3 linked regions of the Drosophila melanogaster genome follow. The protein of the gene in region 1 interacts with the protein of each later gene in a pairwise test. Each region holds a gene or a part of one and is shown on either strand. Other genes may lie near its edges. The genes, in order: ClpX, Lipt1 and CG32369.

Region 1 (8,575 bases):
ATGAAGAACAAATTCTGTAACTTCCCCCTCTGGCGAATGACCGCCTACGCAACTGCCTGCCTCACTGGAAATCCCGGTTGCCCGATTACTAACCGCAATTGGCGAGGACCTTCTGCAGCGGCATGTCCTTGGGCAGCTCCTTGGCGGACTCGTCCAGAGCCTGGGCAATCTTGTAGTGACTGTTCTTCTTGGTCCGCTTGTCCTGCTCCTCGCTGCTCCCGCTTCCACTTCCGCCTCCGCCGCTCAGCGCCGGCAGCTTGCGGACGATCTTCTCGATGGTGTCCCGGTATCTGTCCACCTGCCGCTCGATCGCCTCCAGCTCCGAGTCCTTGCTGTCCGACTTGCTCGATCTGCGAATGCGAAAAGGACCATTTTGACACGGGTTTAGCACGGGTTAGGTCATCATCGGCAGTCCACTATTGTTACGGCTGTCATCGCGCTTTGTTATTGATGCAGTTGCTCTGTGGCTGCTTCTCTGCTGCTTTTGTTGTTGTTGCTGCTGCTGCTGTTGCTTCTTTCGTGATGAGGCAACACACACCTGTCTGTCCACCTGGAGCGCACTTACACAAACACACACCCACAGACATCCGACCGACAGACTGGCTGGCCTTTGAACTTACCTTGACAGATTTTCGGCTGCTATTTTGATTTTGGCAAACTGCCTCTTCATCTTGGCTGATTCGCTGGTGCCGCTCGCGTCTCCAACTTGAACTGAACTGCTGTGTGTTTGTTTGCGATGTGCAATTAGCTGGGCATTGAGTAAATACTTAAAACAGGCAAATTAGTCATTCTTCAACGATGTTTTACGGAAAAGTGAGGCGGGTGTGACCGCAGCGGGAGCGCTGGGAAATGACAAAAGGCTGGAGAGCGCCTTTTTCGAAAGTTCGTATTTGGTAACACTGTTTGATAAATGCCTGTTGAGATTTCTCAGAGCTTAGGCTAGAATTATGAATTTAAGCAATGGTTAATTAATGTTTATTAAATTTCAATCTCCTTTAATCTGAAACCATTGCTTAAATTCGCTGAATAGGGGAATACCCCTTACTACTTGTAGCGGTACCAGACATTTGCGCTAGGGTAACCACTGTCGAAAACACCCGAATTCTGTGGGGTCACACTGAACTCGACCGCCTTGCTTAGCTGCACGTGTGCGTGCGTAAATAATAGTTTTATTGTTATTTTACTCTCGAAAATGACCCAGGCGGAGATCGTGAAATGTCTGCGGGAGGAGTATGAAATCGAACACAACAAGGATCAGAAGCCGGAGAAGGAGGACCTGCCCGCCATCACCAAAAAGTTCTATCAGCGAGTCTTGGAACTGCTGACCATTCACAAAGTGCCCTACTCCAAACAAGAAGGTGAAACCATTAATGAAAAGCCTTAAATCTTTAACTTTATCGTATTTCCTACAGATGAGGAGACCTACGAAGAGTACCTGCTGTCGGACACGGAGGAATCGGGAAACAAGAAAAAGAAACAACAGGGAAAACTGAAAAACCAAGACTCCGACGACGAGGATGTAGAGGCACGCATTGCCTCCATCAAGAACAAGCTGCGCCAGAAAAAGGGACCCACAACGGAGCGACAGCAGAAGCGACGCGAATCTAAAAAGCTTAAACGCAGCAAGGGCGTCCAGAAACTGCTCCTCTCCTCGGCCAAAAACCTCAAAAACGAGAACGTCAAGCACCAGAAACTGAAGAATGGCGTGGTGAAATCAGAACAGGAGACGGAGGACAGCAAGGAACAGATCCAGCCGGTCAAGGTGCAACCGGTTTACAACCAGGAGGCCAAGATCGTCTACTCCAAGGTGGACTTTGCCGCCAATCCTGGAGGCAAAGCCAAGAAGTCTCACCAAAACCCCAAGGAGATTCTGAAGAAGCTGCGCGACACCAAGAAGCACCTAACCGAACTGCGCGAACAGGGCGAAACGGACAAGGCGGCGGAGATCCAGACGGACATCGCCTGGCGCAACGCATTCGACAAGGTCGAGGGCAAGAAGGTCAAGGACGACACCAAGCTGCTGCAAAAGGCCATCAAGAAGCGGCGCGTGGAGAAGAAGAAGTCCAAGACCAAGTGGACTGAACGCAAGCAGAAGGTGGAGCACGACAAGGAAAAGAGGCAAAAGAAGCGACAGGAGAACCTGGAGAAGCGCAGCAAGGACAAGAAGAACCGGAAACTAAAGACGGCCAGCAAGAGGGGTCGCATCATACCCGGCTATTAACTATGCTTACTATAGCCCTTAAGTGTAAAGTAGTGTAAATGTATGCCACGTTGAAATTCAACTCAGAATGCTTTAGAAAAAAAGTGATCTTTCTGAAATTTACGTTTTTATACTTTCGTGTTAGAAATTTACTTTTCCGGCCTCGACACAGTCAAAATTCCAGTAGACAGCTAAATTCCCAGTTCCAAGCCACACTATTTGGCTCCTCGTTTTTGTCCACTTTGTGTCACTTTGTGTTCCACTGTGCGTTGCGCGGCTTCACCAAAGATTGGCAAGAAGAAGAACGGCGAACAGCTGAGACCGATAACAACAATCGATTGATATCGTAATCGTTTAGTTGGATTGCTGCGATTTTTCCAGATTTTCCGAGTACTTACAAGAGACAAAAAGTGGATCAGATAATGCTGGAGACCCTAGAAATTTGTGGATCTTTTAATACAGTATAGTGACCGATTTGGCAAGAAGAAGCAGAGCGAGTGGGGCAGCCAAAACAACGAGAATCACACGCACGCACACAGCCACAAAAATTACGTGCAGAGCGCAATCTATTCCCCCCATTTTCCACCGAAAATACAGCAAGGCAGGCGGAAAATCATCCAAATTGCGACGCACTTTGGCGAGCGACGGATAACCAACAAGTGGATATAGAAAAGCAATCCCTGCAAAGCGAGGCATCCCCAGCAGAAGTCACAACAATAACTTTGCAGATCAGCAGAGCAAGAAGAAGAAGCGGCCGCCAGCTGAGTAGCAAATCGGTGCAAAGCAGGGGCGCAGGGGAATCCGAGTCCAGGAGCAACTGCAGCGGGCGCGGAGGAAGCGGTAGACGGAACAGAGGCACAGAGGCGGCGGGCAGCAGCCACCATGAGCATGGTGCGGCGGATTATCCTGCTGGGCCCCAAATACAGTGTGTGGGCAAAGGGTAAGTGCTGTGCCGTCTTGTTGTTGTGCTGCCAATCGCATACGTAACTGCGTCATTAGCCGTGAATCGACAACAACTGGCAATGGCAACTAAAAAACAGCCTGCAGTTTACCAATCTGCATCGTAATCCCAACGCTCCCCCCGCCATTTGGCTTATCAGAATTTTCTAGCTTCGGTGCTCGCTGACACTTGTCTAGTGTCAAACAACCAAAACACTGAATGAAGGTCGTCTTCTTTTGATACCAAAAAGCTGCTGCTCGCGGTCAACGGGCCACAGTGGCGTCGCTGAAAAGGGGTTTCACCCAACTGATTTTACATTCACGCACTCACACGCATCTGATTGGAGGCCACCCCCCTTGCCGTTTCCAATCAGACAAGCGTGGCTCTTGGACCAACTGAACTTGAATTGTTTTATAAGGCCCGAATGGCCAGTTAGCGCAATTACTGCTATTGCCGCTCTGACGCAATGATTTTTTGTTTTATCATTACATGTCTGCAGTGGAGCAATTTCTTACACTTTTTTAATGGCCCACAGTTGGTTATTATATTTGCTGGCCTGCAAGTTAGGAAAGCGAGAGCCGGAAGTTTACCCAACACATTTCACTGAAAAAAACTAGCCGAGATTGTTTTCTACTGTCAAATTCACAGCACCTGTGAATTCCGAGATTAGCCATTATCAATTCCCTGCTTGATTGGCACTACTGCGAAAAAAAGGTGCGAGTCATCTGCGATATCGGAAGATGCTAATTGCCCTTGGCCTCCACTTGTTAGTTTGTTTTTGTGGGCCAATCTAGAGACTCTGTTCCCCGGATTCCCTTTGTTGTTATCAATTGCCTGTGCTTCGGAAAGCATTAACCCCACACATGGGGTCGATGCTTCCATTTTGTCTGCTTTGTGCACGAGACACAATTTAAATCTTTAGAATCCATGCACAGTGGCTAAAGGTCTCAGATGACTTCCAATTTTTATTTAAATTTGTATGCCATTAAAAACAGTTTCCAATACTTATACATGTACTTTCCATATCCAGGAAGCGGAGCTGGTCAAACACATGGCTCGGCAAGATGCGTTATCCTAAGCGCAGGTTCTGCGGAGAACAGCGACTGTGGCGTACGACGCTTTCACCTGGCAACGCGGAACTGCGCGAGGAATCGACTGATGAGACTGGAGCCCGCGATGGCAATACCGGCGTATATTGATGTAACTAACGCACACTCAAGAACGCCAGAGGACTCCAGCGAGAGTGGGAGCGGCAGCGAAGGGGGAGCCAGTGCGTCGGGAGGTAGTGGAGCGAAGAGCCCCGGCGGTGCGGCTGGGTCTGGAGCAAGTTCGACCAGTGGTGCCGATCCGCCAGGCGGTGGCAGTGACAAGTTCCTCTCGTGCCCAAAGTGCGGCAGCGCCTGCACCCAGGTTGAGACCTTTGTCAGCTCGACGCGGTTCGTTAAGTGCGCCAAGTGCAACTACTTCTTCGTGGTGCTCTCGGAGGTGGAGACTAAGCAGCGCACCAAGGACGAGCCCAAAAACCAGCGCAAGCCGCCACCTCCGCCACAGAAAATCATGGAGTATCTGGACAAACACGTGGTGGGCCAAGATTTTGCCAAAAAGGTGCTGGCGGTGGCCGTCTACAATCATTATAAGCGCATCCATCACAATCTGCCGCAACTGCAAAACCAGGGAGCGGGTGCCAGCAATGGAGCCGGTGGCGGCCTAGATGGTATTCCTCGGCCCGATCTTCTACACATCACCGGTATTGGTCACACGCTGAACAGCTCCCCGGGCAACGAACTGCCACCAAAGTCGCCGACTCAAATGGGCATGGGCGGAGGAATGGGAGGACCTGGACTTGGAGCAGGACTAACCGGCGCATCATCTAGCAATGCGCGTGGAGGTGGCGACAACCGGTCCGGATCAGAAATACTTGACCGCCAGTCCACCGATGTCAAACTGGAGAAGAGTAACATTATCATGTTGGGCCCCACGGGATCCGGTAAGACGCTGATCGCCCAGACGATCGCCAAGTGCCTGGATGTGCCCTTCGCCATTTGCGACTGCACCACGTTAACACAGGCGGGCTATGTGGGCGAGGACATCGAAAGCGTAATTTCAAAGCTTCTGCAAGATGCCAACTACAATGTAGAGCGCGCACAGACGGGCATTGTTTTCCTCGACGAGGTGGACAAAATCGGTGCCGTCCCCGGAATCCATCAGCTTCGTGACGTTGGCGGCGAGGGCGTCCAGCAAGGCATGCTGAAAATGCTCGAAGGCACAGTGGTCAACGTGCCGGAGCGTAACTCCCCGCGAAAGCTGCGTGGCGAAACGGTCCAGGTGGACACCACAAATATCCTTTTCGTGGCCTCTGGTGCCTACACAGGACTGGACAGGCTTATCGCACGTCGTCTCAACGAAAAGGTAAGTTAGCGATAGTTACTCAGACTTCGCTTACTAATTGCATCTTAATGCTTCAAGTATTTGGGTTTCGGCATGCCATCGACCAGCGGATCTGGCCGTCGTGCAGCTCAATCAGCCGCCAGTCCCATGGACAACGACCAGGAAGAGCGTGATAAATGCCTGACCAAAGTGCAGGCCCGTGATCTCGTTGAGTTCGGCATGATACCGGTAAGTAATCGGAGGTTCAAATATAACTCCGTAGACATACATTGTAACTATTAACATAATTATAAGCTAGCAGATTTTATTATATTAGTTACTCATTTTGATTATTTTAAAACCCAAATTGTTGTGCAGGAATTCGTTGGACGTTTCCCGGTTATCGTTCCCTTCCACAGTTTGAACGTTAGCATGCTGGTGCGCATCCTAACCGAGCCGCGAAACGCTCTAGTGCCGCAATATAAGGCACTGTTGGGTCTTGATGAGGTGGACCTTACGTTCACCGAGGATGCTGTGAAGTCGATAGCCCAGCTTGCAATGGAAAGGCACACTGGAGCTCGTGGACTGCGCTCTATAATGGTAAGATATTGAATTTGTGAGACACATATGGCATATACCTAAAACATGTTTATAATCCCATCCAGGAACAACTGCTGCTGGATCCCATGTTCATAGTGCCTGGTTCAGACATTCGGGGTGTTCACATAACCGCCGACTATGTTAAAGGCAGCGCCACCCCCGAGTACAGCCGCGATGCAGACGCCGCGGCATCTGGGACTGTTGCCACGGATTCCGATACCACAACCGATAATGATAAGAACTTTGAGAATAGTGAGAAAGTACGACTAAAACAGTAAATCAAACAGAGATACCCACATCCAAAGCCAACCAAAACAGAAATCGAGACAACACTTGAACAAAAGAGAAAACTTTCAATTCGCAACGCTTTCCGAATTGCTTGTTCTTTGCAAACTCTTTTGTCTTCTATCCACTACTGTTCAGCTTGTTAAACTCGTCCAGCTGCTTAATTTCGAATCGTCAGCGCTAATTTCTCGCATAAACACAATTTAATGTTGAACCCTTATGATACTTTCATTTGCCCACTCTAACATGTATATTTTTTAGTCTGGTTTGAATGGTAAATTGATTGGTGCGTCGTAGATCCCTACCTCGAACCTATCACTCTGTAAAATATGAACCGCTGAGGAGTGTATACATTTATAAAGAATGTCCTCAATCCCCAAATGCATCTGTGATTCATAAACGACGAGCAGCGCAGTCTTTTGAGCCCGAAGCAATTGTAAGTGGAACAACAAATCCTAAAGGGATATTTAAATAAATGCCACAGTTTCTTAAACATTATATTACACAAATATCGGAAATCTGCAATGTTGGCAATGATGTGGTCCATTGGCGCTAGGAACCTCTTTTGCATATAACAATTATATATACAAACGTAAACGTATATTTAGGCAAATTTTTGCATAGTCTAAATTGAGTTTCTAAATGAGTTCTTGTAGCGTTGTAAAGATGACAAGCGAGAAGCACGTTCTACCTTTAACTAATTTAAGTTGAAAAAAACATTTTTAAAACAAAAAACAAATAAAAAAAAATGAAAAAATTTAAAGCTGGATGCTAATTTTCTTGAGAAATCGATATGCTTTTTGTACGCCAAGGGTTACTAATGTAAATAACATGGCAAATTTAAATTTTTAGTTTTCGTTCATTTTATTTTATTCATCATTCAAATTCAACTAAGTCTGCAGAACTCATAATAAATAATTTGAATTTATTGCACATAATGGACTAATGGTAGTTCCTTCTTTTTGTTTGTTTTTACGTTTCCTTTTCATCTCGTAGTATATAAATTTGTATAAAAATTTGTAAGTTAATAAATATCTTTTGGCGACCCTTAATCGTTTTCCTCGGATATGAGCAGTTCGTATTCCTGTGCCGCAAACCGATCCCAATCGGAGGTCTGCGAAATAGATAATAACATAATTAATAATTATATTAATTAATTATTCTAAGTACCACTTACATATTCGTCACGCTGTGAGGCAAACGGATCTCGTTGTTCGTGATCTAGATACTTCTCCAGATTGAAGAAGGTATCGAAGAAGACGTGCGTCATTTTGCATCGTTTCAAATCGCCCAGCGTGATACAGTCCCGATTTGCTGGCTTGATCATATCTAGCATCTAATATAAAAAAATTAGATTATCTTCCTTCAATCGGAATTGAATATCCGATCCTCACCTGGCACAGGCAGTCCTCGAAAGGCAGGCACTCAATGCCGATTCCCTCCATCCTTTGCTGCTGCTCCTCGTAGAAGTATTCCAGTTCGTACATGGACAGCACTCCATCTCCGTCGACGTCCATACATCTAAACCAGTACTCGATGGCCGTCGGCGTCCGTTTGTCCTCCTCCGAGAGGATGAACCACACAAAGTCCGTGTAGGACATCTTGGCTTCATCTTCCGGCGCCTTTTTGTTATCGCTGCGCGTTACACATCCCGAGAAGATTCGCTCCACGATGCGCGATGACAGGGCATGATCGCTGTGCTTGGCCAGATCCTCCTGGTTGATCAGCAGGTCGTGGTCCTTGTCCAGTTCCCAAAACTTGCAGTAAATCACGTAGAAGTGCTCGTAGCTAAAGAAGGCCATTATCTGATTGATGTCCTCTTCTTCCTCCAGCAGACTGATCATCTGTGGGCGGGTTTCCAAATGTACATTATGTATTTCACAACAACATTGTTATATTTATATTTTTCAGATATATCATTGATATACTTTTCTCACCTCCAGCAGATCGGATCGTTTTAGTTCGGCTATTGTGATCTTGCCGCTCCAACTGCGGTTTACCGAATAGAAAATGCGCGCGATGACTGTGTGCACGTATCTGGAATGGAACTCGGTGGCTTCCTTGAGAAAGGCCAGGCCGGGGTGTGTGTCGACCACATCCTGCACCATGGGCACCAGGTCCTCGGGCACGATGTACGAACGGAATCTCTGGCCACGCGACAGAATGTACACGAATCTCGAGGC
Region 2 (5,450 bases), on another chromosome or scaffold:
AACTTATCTGTCCAATCCTCGCTATCCTCCCAACCGCCGTGATTCATGGGATACGGTTTCAAGCCATCCAGCTCAAACAGTTGTCCATTGATAGGCACAAAGCTAACGAAGTGAAACGCCTCACCCGTGAAGCGGCAACTTGAGACGCCCGCTCCCGTCCTTTCTAGACGGCGCCGAGCCTGCGGCATTGCGTGTGAGTTATGGGCACAGGCCAGCTCCGGAGTGTTGCCAATAGCCAGCCCCTTGTTCTCCGGACTCATGCCTTTGGTGTGGGTTTTTAGTCGACTCAGGGTGTCGCCCAGCTGAAGATTGTTCTCGTTGCAGTTCAGGAGCACCGAAAGCAACGCGTGTGTGGCACAGCTATTGGGGACTACCTGCTGGGCGAAGAAAATGCTGGAAATGGCCTCCTCATCCTTGACGAATATCTCAGCAGTTGTCTCCACAATTTTGCGTCTGGCGCGTCGCTCTTCGATCCAGCGGAAGAGAAATATGAAGCCATATGGACTCTCGATGGGTTTCTGTAGGTCGTACACCTCCTCCACCTGTACATCGTGACCTAAGGATAGTACATATTTTAATAGGATGTGTGGAACAAGGCATATTCAAATAGATTACATCCAAAATCCTTGAGAAGCAGTGTGAAGAGACCTGGGTCGGACTCCAGCTCCAACCAACCGTCTGCCAGTTGGGCCATAGGCATGGTGGTGGCTCCTGAGGCCGTGGAAAGTAGCGCATTGTGGCTGAGACTGTTGTTGCCTGCCGCCACTGCGGCCGCCTGGGCACCACTACCTCCTCCAGCAGCGTTCATATTTGTATGGCTTATACAATTGCTGCGAAAGTATCCGAGATGTTACTTTAATTTCGTTTTTCTGCACAGAGAAGGATATACACATGAAAATCTATCAAAGGAATGTTTACGTATAAGTTTATTTGTCATTAATATAATAAACAAATGAAATAGTTACCGGTTATACTCATAAAAACGTCTTCAATAGTTTGTTTTCATATGACATTTATTGTTGCATAGAGCATAAGTACGTTGGTTTGCTAGTTTTAGGAGCAATCCATATACTGGCGATGTCCGTCCAGAAGTTAGGGCCGTCGGCTGCCGGTTATCTTCTGTCCCCAATTCATTTTAAATATAAAAATATTACCGATTTGGACCAAAATAGTTTTTTGCGCTTCCTCTTATCTGCCTTAGCCATTCACAGGATCACGTAAATTTCAATAACGATAATAATCCATTGCGCGGCGAATGGCATGCAATTTTAACGATCTGGCAGCGCTTGTATGAGTTTACAGTCAGCTGTTATTCACGTAACTTTTACTTTTGCCTTGGCTTTTTGGTAGAAATTCAATTGCTGTTGCTATGGTTCGACCAACACTAGTTGCGCTGGCTAAGCGCGTACCGCTCATACACTTCCGCAAGGGTGGTGCAGGAGTGCCGGGCGCCCAGACAGCAAACCAGAAGGCAAGTTCCCAGGCCGCAGGAGGCAAAAAGGTTAACCCAGCCCATTTCATTTATACACAATACCACGGCTTCTTCTGTGCATCATAACTAATCTTCGTAATTGTCCCTTCTACATTTAGTTGGCCGGTGGACCAGCAATTGAGGACTACGAGCTGCCGGCACGATTTGCCCGCAAGCCAATTGATCCCGAAGAGGCGGCTTACATTAATAATGGGGGTATTCCAAACTGAAGGGGCTCTCAAAGTATGCTGCTTATAAAATATAACACATATTAATGTCACATCTGTTGTAGACGTCTCGGATTATCACACATGTTTAGCGTAAATTATACAAGTTCGAATTAAAAAGATGAAAATAAATTAAGTGCGGCGCCAGAGTGCCGTTGTTTTTTTTTTTTTTTAATGACCGGAGCTTTCGTCGTTCGCTGCGAATGGCATTTGGGGACCGTCGAGGAAGAACAAGAGCAGCGAGCACCACTGCTCATCTGAAACGAAAGCCAATCGGTCGTGATATTTCCACACGCGCAGCTGCTTTTCGATCGGCTCTGTGTTCGTTCGTTTGTTTGTGCTATAACTGCTACCCCCGCCCACTGCGATCATCCGCCTTGCCCCCGCCCCCCGCAGTTCCCGTGCGCCGCGAACAAAGAGTGGAAAATTTTGGTGTCAGCTAAAAAGGAAACCCTTTAGCCATCTTATTTGGGCCCCGTAACGTTGCGGCCCCCCGTAAACACCGGATTCGTTGTATCCCCCACCTGGATGGGTGTGAGGCGTAGTATGCCAGTGAACTGTGCCAACAAGGACTGCCTGGGTCTCCGTAAGCGTGTCTGTGGTCTGCATCAAACGTGGAAGTGGCTGCATCAGACGCCCGCCCTGCACGAATACCTCATCTCGGCCAGCTCCGTGGCTGCAAACACATCCCGAGCCACTAAGAACGCCACAGTCTAAAGTCCAGAGCGACCAAAGCCATTTAAAGACCAAAACGAATAGCGTAGATAGTAGACCATACATAACCTAAAGAAGAGCACACACGGACCACACAGAACCAGGCAGACGACAACCGTAGAAACCAACCAACCAACCAACCAATCAACCAGCCAAAAGCTTTTTTCGACACCATTGACCTTGTTTCGCTTGCAAGTGCATTGTGTCCCAGATCACCTGGCAACAGAAATCACACACACCCGTACGCCCCACTTCCTTGTGTAAGCCATGAGCATGCTGTTGCGACGCAATTCCAGCCAGCTGCGGCTACTTCTCTCCTCCGCCGCTCAGGCCACGCGCCTGGCATCCAGCGGAGTGGAGCCACCATCTGCTGGACAGCAGGAGATTAAAAAGCAGAGGCGCCAGCCACCGCCCGTGGTTCCCGATTCGGAGATCAAGAAGTCCGTGTTCATCTCGCAGTCCAGCGATGTGTTCACCAACCTCGCTCTAGAGGATTGGCTGTACAAAAACTTTGATTTCAGCCGCCACCATGTGCTGCTGCTGTGGGCCAACGACCCGTGCGTAGTCATTGGTCGCCACCAGAATCCCTTCACCGAGGCTAATGTTTCGCAGCTGGTGGAACGCGGCATAACACTTGCACGCCGCAATAGTGGCGGTGGAGCGGTGTACCATGATCTTGGGAACCTCAACTGCACCTTTTTCTCGCCCAGAGAGCGCTACGATCGCAAGTACAACCTGAACATCGTGACCAGGGCCTTGTTCCGCGAATGGGCCATCAAGGCAGAGATAAATGAGCGCGACGACATTGTAGTGATGAATAAGAAGGTGAGGAGGAGCGGTGGCTCTTATCAAGGAATGATGCGACCCCGGCTGATCCCTCACATTGGCATCAGCTCACTTAACCAACAGCTGGGGCTGTGCATCTGGTCTTTATTTGCCCACTCAACGAGTATGCCCTTGTTCAATTACAGATTTCCGGCACTGCGGCCAAGCTGGGACACCCGAACTCGTACCATCACTGCACCATTTTGGCCAGCGCCAACAAATTGCACTTGGGCGAATCTCTGGTGCGGGAGCCGGCCAATTATATTAGCAAGGCCACGGCTTCGGTGCCGTCGCCCATTCGCAACCTGGTTGATGTCAATCGCACGGTGAACGTTGCTCAGCTGCGTTCCGCCGTGGGTTACGAGTATTTGAGAACGGCTGCAACTACGCTTGAAGACGGCGGCAGCACACAGACGATGCAGCAGCGCGGCTTTCAGCTGGTCAATCCCACAGAGAAATGGTTCCCCGGCATTGAGGAATTGCGCTCCAACTACAGCTCTTGGGACTGGGTCATCGGCAAGACTCCCAAGTTCACCGTGCAGAAGGAACTGGAGGTGAAGGGCGATGAGCAGGACATGAAACTGAAACTAAGCGTGGAAGTGGAAGCGGTAAGATTTGTTTTGCCCTGTTTTAGAGAATTATCACTTATGATTTTACTAAATTTGTAGGGATTAATGAAGGAGATCGGCATCCAGCTGCCGCAGAGCGATCAGCTCGTCCCGGTGGTGACTCCGCTCCAGGGCAAGCCCTACAACGAGGAGAACCTGAACGGAATACTTGGCGCCCTTAAGCTCGTCAGCGCATCGAATGTGAAGCAGGCAATAAACGGATCAGCTTGATTACTGTTGTGCTAGCTCGAAAAAATTAACAAAAAAATATATAATCCATTTCTAGAGCACTAACCACGCTAACGTAGTTATAATCTTTCCAAGAAACCATATTACTAACCTAGTATTTAAGCGGTTTACCAACAAACTATTTACTTTTGTTACCACGTTTTATATAAAAGAACTGCATTAAATGTTTAAACATTGATTATTAAAGCATACTGCTGTATTATTTAATACTAAATCAAAAAGCGCAGTATGTATAAAAATAGTTTTTATTTTGTATAACCAATGAAACAAAATGGATTTGTAAAAATGAATACAAAGCTTATATGCTAAATCTTTAAGGCACTTGTTCGCTTTCTTTTGACACAAATTGGTTGTACATATGATTAAAAAATATATTACAAGCTATAAACATGAATACTAGGATACGGAACAACAATAGTGATCTGTGGGTTCCAGATCGTTAATACGTTGAAAACGAAATAGAAGACATTGCATAAATAGCTACAGAAAATTGCACTCAGAACGGAAAAAATGGAAAATGGAAACTGGCTTAAATGTGAACCGTTTGCACCAATTCCGGCAGGTTTTGGTAATCAGGATCGCGGGCGAAAAACTCGGTGAGATAGACAAAGGTTGGCCGATCTTTGGGTCGTTCCTTCCAGCAGCTCTGCATCACGGCATAGATGTAAGCTGGACAGAGATTGGGCTGCGGCAGGCGTTCGCCACTGTCCACCAACTTGATGGCATCGACATTAGATATTTCCCCATATGGCGGTGCGCCGAGGGAAAACATCTCCCAGATGGTCACGCCAAAGGACCACACATCACTGGCGTGCGAGAAGATGCCCAGGTTGAAGCTTTCCGGTGCGTACCAGCGGATGGGCCAACGTCCGCCCTGGGTGAATTGGTATTCCGTGCTACCGGGTCTCAGTGATCGCGACATGCCGAAGTCACTGATCTTCGCCTGGTGGCGTGCGGTCAGCAATATATTTCTGGCGGCCAGATCGCGGTGTACAAAATGCTGTGATTCCAGATAATGCATGCCTGGTACAAACATTAATTAATTAATTGAATTGAATCAAATTGTCTTGAATTTGACTTACCACACGCAATCTGTGACGCCCAAACTTTCAGCTCCGCATTGGCCGTGATCTCATGACCATGATCCAGTATGTACTGCAGCATGGAGCCCAACGGAGCTAGCTCTTGAACCATCATTAGCATTTCACCCTTCGCAATGCCAATCAATCGCACAATGCACTTGTGCTCCAGCCGCATCATAACTGATGCTTCGCGCAGGAACTCCTGTTTGTTGCTGTGCTCGTCGCTAAGCATCTTAATGGCCACCTCCAAGCGCGATTCCTCGCCGGCACCGCT
Region 3 (5,333 bases), on another chromosome or scaffold:
AGAAAGAACAAACAATAAAGGTTTAGATACAAATTTTGAAACGATAAATGCAAAAAAAAAAATGATAAAAACTGTTTCATTTTTCTGTGGATTTTGTGGTATACCATTAGGCGAGTTTTTTCCTCTGAACGAATAGCCAACTTCGGGGCAGCATTGTCAAAACAGAGTGGTTGGCCTTCAAAGCAGCTGGAATACACAGTTTTGAGTAACTGGAGGTCAAGTTGATTGCATAATTGGTGAGTGGAGAGAGGATCTGAAAATGGTAACTGGATATGAGATAAGCTGTTAAAACTGTTGGGTGCAGTTGACATGTCGCTAAATAAAGCTGCCGGAAACTCAAGAACTGAAATGACGAACTTCAAGTTCGGATAAAATGCGCATTCTAAAACAATGTATACCATTCAACATTTAATCTGTGGAAAAACTTCCATGGATTCCAATCATAAGACAAATTCTCACTTCCACTTGGCAACAAACGAAACTCGCCCGACTTCAATTAACATTCACTAAAACAACGAAAAAAAATAAATAATTTGTTTGTCAGCTTCACACACCTATTTCAAATTCAGCTGAACCAAAGCCCAAATCGGTGATATACACTATTATGCAAAAAACATAATAAAGCAAAAAAAAAAAACTGAAACTAATTTCCTCATATATTGCTTACAAAATAAACATTTCAAACATGAAACTCGCAGCTAATTTCCGTTGATGAACAACAAAAGCAGCGCCAACTATTTGAGAAATGGGAGCTGTATAACCGGTACACAGTCAAAATTTAATTATATAATTGTACATGGTATTAAAATATATGGTACTACTAAAATAACGTTAATTGCTAAACAATTAAAGATTATTGAGATTCTACAACTCAGAAATTTGAAAATATATATTAGAATAAATTTTGTTAATTTTAATATGTTTTAATCTGTAAACTTTCAAGCTTTGTTTTTTTTTTGAATGCAGGCTTAAACCAGACCCAGACCTGAGGCAAAGCAATTCGATTACTTCCCTATGGGGAAATGTTGCAATAAATGCGAGCAATGCTCAAACATAAGCGGACTCCACTCGCCCGCCCCGCATATTTTTATACTGTCCAAGACTTACGAAAGCGAAAAATGAGTTAACAACAACGGCCACTCAAAATGTTAATGGAAACGCAGCAGCAGCAGCAGCAGCAGCAGCATGAAAACTGGTAGTATGCAGGCAACCGCTAACAGACAACGTTGAACTTGAGCTTGAAATACAAGCCAAGCGGAGCCAAAAGAGAAAGACGGGAAGTAGGGGGAGGGGAAGCGATACGCGGTTGTTATAAGCCAAGTTTGTCGACAACTGCATTTGTTGATCAACCCAAATGAGGTCAACGCGTCGTATACGTAATTTGCGTTAAATGACAAAACAATATGTAATAGCCACACAACACTTACGAAACGCAGATATTCGATATTACAGACGAACTTTAACAACTCTGAGCTCTATCGGGATAGGAAATCTATAGCTTCAAAACCTGTTTAAGGATTATAAAATTAATACATCTTGTAATGACATGTCTGAGAATTAATCAACTTATATTTTCACAGTTTAATCTATTGTGTATTTTGTTATACAAATTTCGTTATTAATTTTATAAGTTATTTGAGTAAGCTTTTATTCTATTTTACATAATCTAAAAACTATATTTGCGTATTAAACAAAATTACAAAATTTTATATATGTAATTTAGTTTAAGTAACAGAAAATCGACCGTATCTGTTGTGATTATTGATGTTTGCTTGGTGTTTATATGGCTGTAGTCTGTTGAGTGGCGCCGGAAATGCGCATCATACGATAAATGACGCCCACTGGCAAACTAGCACCCCCAACACCACCCACTATCCCCCAACCCAATAGTTTTGCAAATCACCCACCGCAGCCCCCGCTGCCCCATCATTTTTCTTGGCGTCGCCTGTTGTGACAGTTGACGGTTTGCCGGCAAAAATTAAAAAAAAAAATAAAATGCCAGAGAGAGAAGTGCTAAACAAAGAGAGCTCAAGGCACAGACATCGATGACGCAACAGACACATCCACGGAGGCGTAAGAGAGTCGACCCCAAAAGAGAGCGCCAATTTTTCGCTCCAAGCCAACGACTGACTTTTCACAGCAGTCATTCGCTGTTGAACAGCGGCCGTGGCAAGTTCAGACAGCAGGGAGAGTTTGAAAAAAAAAACCAGGCCGTAATACAAATACAAAAAGCAAAATAATAAAAATTATACAAAAAAAAAGTATGAATAATAAAAAAGGCAAATAAAAAAGCAACAAAGTGGAGCGCACCCCATAAGCAAATCATCGCCGAGCCACTCGAACACGTTGCCGCCGTTGCTGCTGTTGTCGCTATTTCTTTCGCCCAGTGCGTTCGCTCTCTCTCTTTCTGTCTCGTCGCGTAACGTAAGCGTATTACAAAACAAACGCCAACGTAATCAAAGAAATAAATAAAATAAAATAAAGGTGCTCGCTCGCGTGTTTCTCGGTGTGAATAAATGAAATAAATAAATTAGTCACAAAATATAAAAAGGGGGTCCAAGTGCAGCCCCCCCCAAATTGCCGCACACCCTTTACGAGAAAGAAAGAAAAAAAGTTAACCCGTGTGTGCGGCGGGGTTACGTAAAGCCGACGGACAAGCGCCGTTCCAAGTTCTTACAAAACAAAAAAAAAAATATATATAAATATCAAACAACACATAACACGAGTGAATAGATTCCCCAATTCGATTTTTTCGCACGCGTGTGGCTATAAATTTTTGGCAAACAAAAATATATACAACTAAATACAACAACAAAATTTTAAATAAATTGCAAGAAGAAGAGGGAGAATTTCGTGTGTTAGTGTGTGTGTCTGTGTGTGATTCTTGAGCAACAGTACACGCCGCACCCCCCGCGAAAAACCTACCCTTTTTTGGGGAAAAACAAGGAGGCGCGGTTCAACAGCGACAGGTAATTCCATTTCTGCGCTCTCTTTGCCACTCTTTCGGGTTCTCTTTGTGTGTGTTACGACATCAAACCACATGCTATGCCTCTGTTTTCAATGTGAATGAACGCTCGACAAAGTTGCGTTTTCAAAGATTGGCACATTCAAGTCTCTCTCTTAGTTTTTCGCTCTTTGTCGGGGAAAACAGTTTTTCATTTGCTATCTGCAATGATTGTGAAAACAAAAAGTGCACTGCTTGAGTCTAGCGGAGGGAAAACTGCAGGGGCGGCTCTTACGTGTTGCCATATTTTTAAAGGCATTACTAAGCGTTTTTTCCGCGCTGCTTTGTTGACGTTCTGTGGCCAATTGAATTCGGCCTGCACTTGATAATCATTTATATTTAATGTGTGATAAAACTTCCGTGGAAAAATATATATCTTAACGATTTCGCGATAAATTAGCTCAGATAAGCAAAAAACAAATGGTGGAAAGAACGATTTGGGAATTTTAAAAGAAGTAAAATTAAGAAAATAAACAATTCAACCTCGTTAAATTATAGTTGACACAAATTTTATATACAAAGTTAAAGTATATAAAATATAACTGGTAAAAAAAAACGTCAGTTTTTTTCATTTTCATTTCATTCATTTTCCTTGAATCTGTCGCGTTGTCATCGCTTTCGTAATTCTCTGGTTAACAGTTTCCAATCCCCGATAATCTACTAAAGATTCGCCAATTTGTCGGGGTCACCACCCAATATTCGTCAGCTACCAAAGCGAGAAACTGGGCTCCTTCCCTCTCCCCCCCTCGACCGCATATGCCCCTCTCACTCGGTTGACGTTTAGCGTTACGACACGCAATGTACTACGAGTATTATGCGACGTTTGCTGCCAATGAACAAGCCGCAACAACACAGTTCGCCCACTTGGCCCAAAACGAAAAACGCCAAAGGGGTTGGGGAAATGCTGAAAAAATATGGTTAGCTCGAAAAGAGGAAAAACCTATTTGCATACGTCATCGGGCGAAAAAGGTTCGTCATGACTCAGAGTCGAATATCGAGGAAGCCAGACTTCAAACAGCTGGATCGTTGTTATATAAACCAAGTCAAACACTACACCGAACTTATGTAAGGCCCAAAGGGACCGGGCCAATTAGTCACAGCGAATGTGGGGGTTCTTGTGTAATCGGTGTGAAATCAAAACCGAAAACCTGAAAAATCACAAACTATGTAGAAATTTTTGGTTGCTAATTGGCTTGCCTCAATAAATTCTTCAGCCCAGTTTCTTTTGTAGTTATTTTGAGCTATTTATATCAGCGTTTATCGCCGTCGTCATTGTCGTCCATTCGAATACAATGTCATAAAACGTGTGAGCCAAGCAAAAAACGGCAAGACAAATGAGAAACCAATAAAACAAATATCAAAGAAGAAATCAAAATGTACAAAACCAAATAAACGCCAACATTAAGGCAATGAAAATGTATGCGATTTCATAATTACGTCGAAAACTACCATCGGAGCATAATCACTTGGTTATGCAATTTATTGGCTTATGTGGCGTGATTACTTGGCGATTAAAGAACTCTATCAGAAGTTCTTGGGATTTTAGGAAATTGGTGAAAGACTTAAACAACTTTGTAGGAATTTCCACACCTGAGCTGTTGCTCATATCGTATTTGGGTACATGAATGTTCATGAAGATGAATCATTTGTTGACTCATTTTCATAAGATAGCAATTTCATAGTTGATACAGAACAACTGTCGTTTTCAATCAGTTCTTTACAAGCAAGCAAATAGTAATTATTTCAACAATCGCTCAATGAGTTTATCACATTTAGTGCTGTAAGTTCCTTTATCGACTTCAATCACTGCGCGCCTACAATCACTTATCGGACTTAAGGCAAACAATGCCTGAATTCAGTTGACTTAGAATACTGACAAACGCCGTTGTAAATGTAGCTATATACACATATTATATGTCAACGCTGCCATTTTGTCTGAGTGACGACGGACAACGGTTGTTTGTATCTACGATTGACATTGCATAATATTGTGAAAAATAAAGCAATCTACGCTATAAGCTATTGCCCTGAGGGCGTGTTCAGGTAGCCGGGCTTCACATATTTGTTATTCACTTAGGAACAATTTATCGGATACGGATTATGCAATAGGACTTTACGTACACGGAACTGCAACCACGATTGCACCAGGATGCACGTGCAGTTATATGAGGCGTATACATAATTTTTACTTACGCAAAGCCGAGCGGCAACAGGAACAATTAGAATCGAGTGCCTTCTGGCTTGTTTACCAACTTTTCCCTTGTCCAATACAATGTTTCACAATGCCAGCTGATATGAAAGTTGGAGCTCCCTATCTCAATCTCGTTCG

Evidence for each region.
Region 2: the proteins of ClpX (region 1) and Lipt1 interact in a two-hybrid assay, tested with the Drosophila melanogaster proteins (one large-scale study listed by BioGRID).
Region 3: the proteins of ClpX (region 1) and CG32369 interact in a two-hybrid assay, tested with the Drosophila melanogaster proteins (one large-scale study listed by BioGRID).

What each region holds. Positions count from the first base shown.
Region 1 is NT_033777.3:19,897,406-19,905,980, reverse strand, and holds the start of ClpX (caseinolytic protease chaperone subunit), read left to right. Parts: upstream 1-2,291; 5' UTR 2,292-3,082; coding exon 3,083-3,140; intron 3,141-4,170; coding exon 4,171-5,549; intron 5,550-5,606; coding exon 5,607-5,756; intron 5,757-5,885; coding exon 5,886-6,107; intron 6,108-6,172; coding exon 6,173-6,367; coding exon of another isoform or gene 6,368-6,385; exon of another isoform or gene 6,386-6,653; coding exon 6,654-6,689; 3' UTR 6,690-6,828; exon of another isoform or gene 6,829-7,440; coding exon of another isoform or gene 7,441-7,506; intron 7,507-7,569; coding exon of another isoform or gene 7,570-7,728; intron 7,729-7,786; coding exon of another isoform or gene 7,787-8,236; intron 8,237-8,329; coding exon of another isoform or gene 8,330-8,575. Other genes in the region: RhoGAP92B (Rho GTPase activating protein at 92B), read right to left, coding at 94-350, 621-670; Surf6 (surfeit 6), read left to right, coding at 1,193-1,358, 1,413-2,221; CG4733 (uncharacterized protein), read right to left, coding at 7,441-7,506, 7,570-7,728, 7,787-8,236, 8,330-8,575.
Region 2 is NT_033778.4:16,195,102-16,200,551, forward strand, and holds Lipt1 (lipoyltransferase 1), read left to right. Parts: upstream 1-1,940; 5' UTR 1,941-2,226; coding exon of another isoform or gene 2,227-2,415; 5' UTR 2,416-2,679; coding exon 2,680-3,237; intron 3,238-3,383; coding exon 3,384-3,845; intron 3,846-3,905; coding exon 3,906-4,076; 3' UTR 4,077-4,277; downstream 4,278-5,450. Other genes in the region: caly (calypso), read right to left, coding at 1-556, 616-808; CG44242 (uncharacterized protein), read left to right, coding at 1,370-1,501, 1,591-1,701; CG42837 (uncharacterized protein), read left to right, coding at 2,227-2,415; Shark (SH2 ankyrin repeat kinase), read right to left, coding at 4,624-5,117, 5,177-5,450.
Region 3 is NT_037436.4:7,806,633-7,811,965, reverse strand, and holds the start of CG32369 (uncharacterized protein), read left to right. Parts: upstream 1-2,140; 5' UTR 2,141-2,969; intron 2,970-5,333.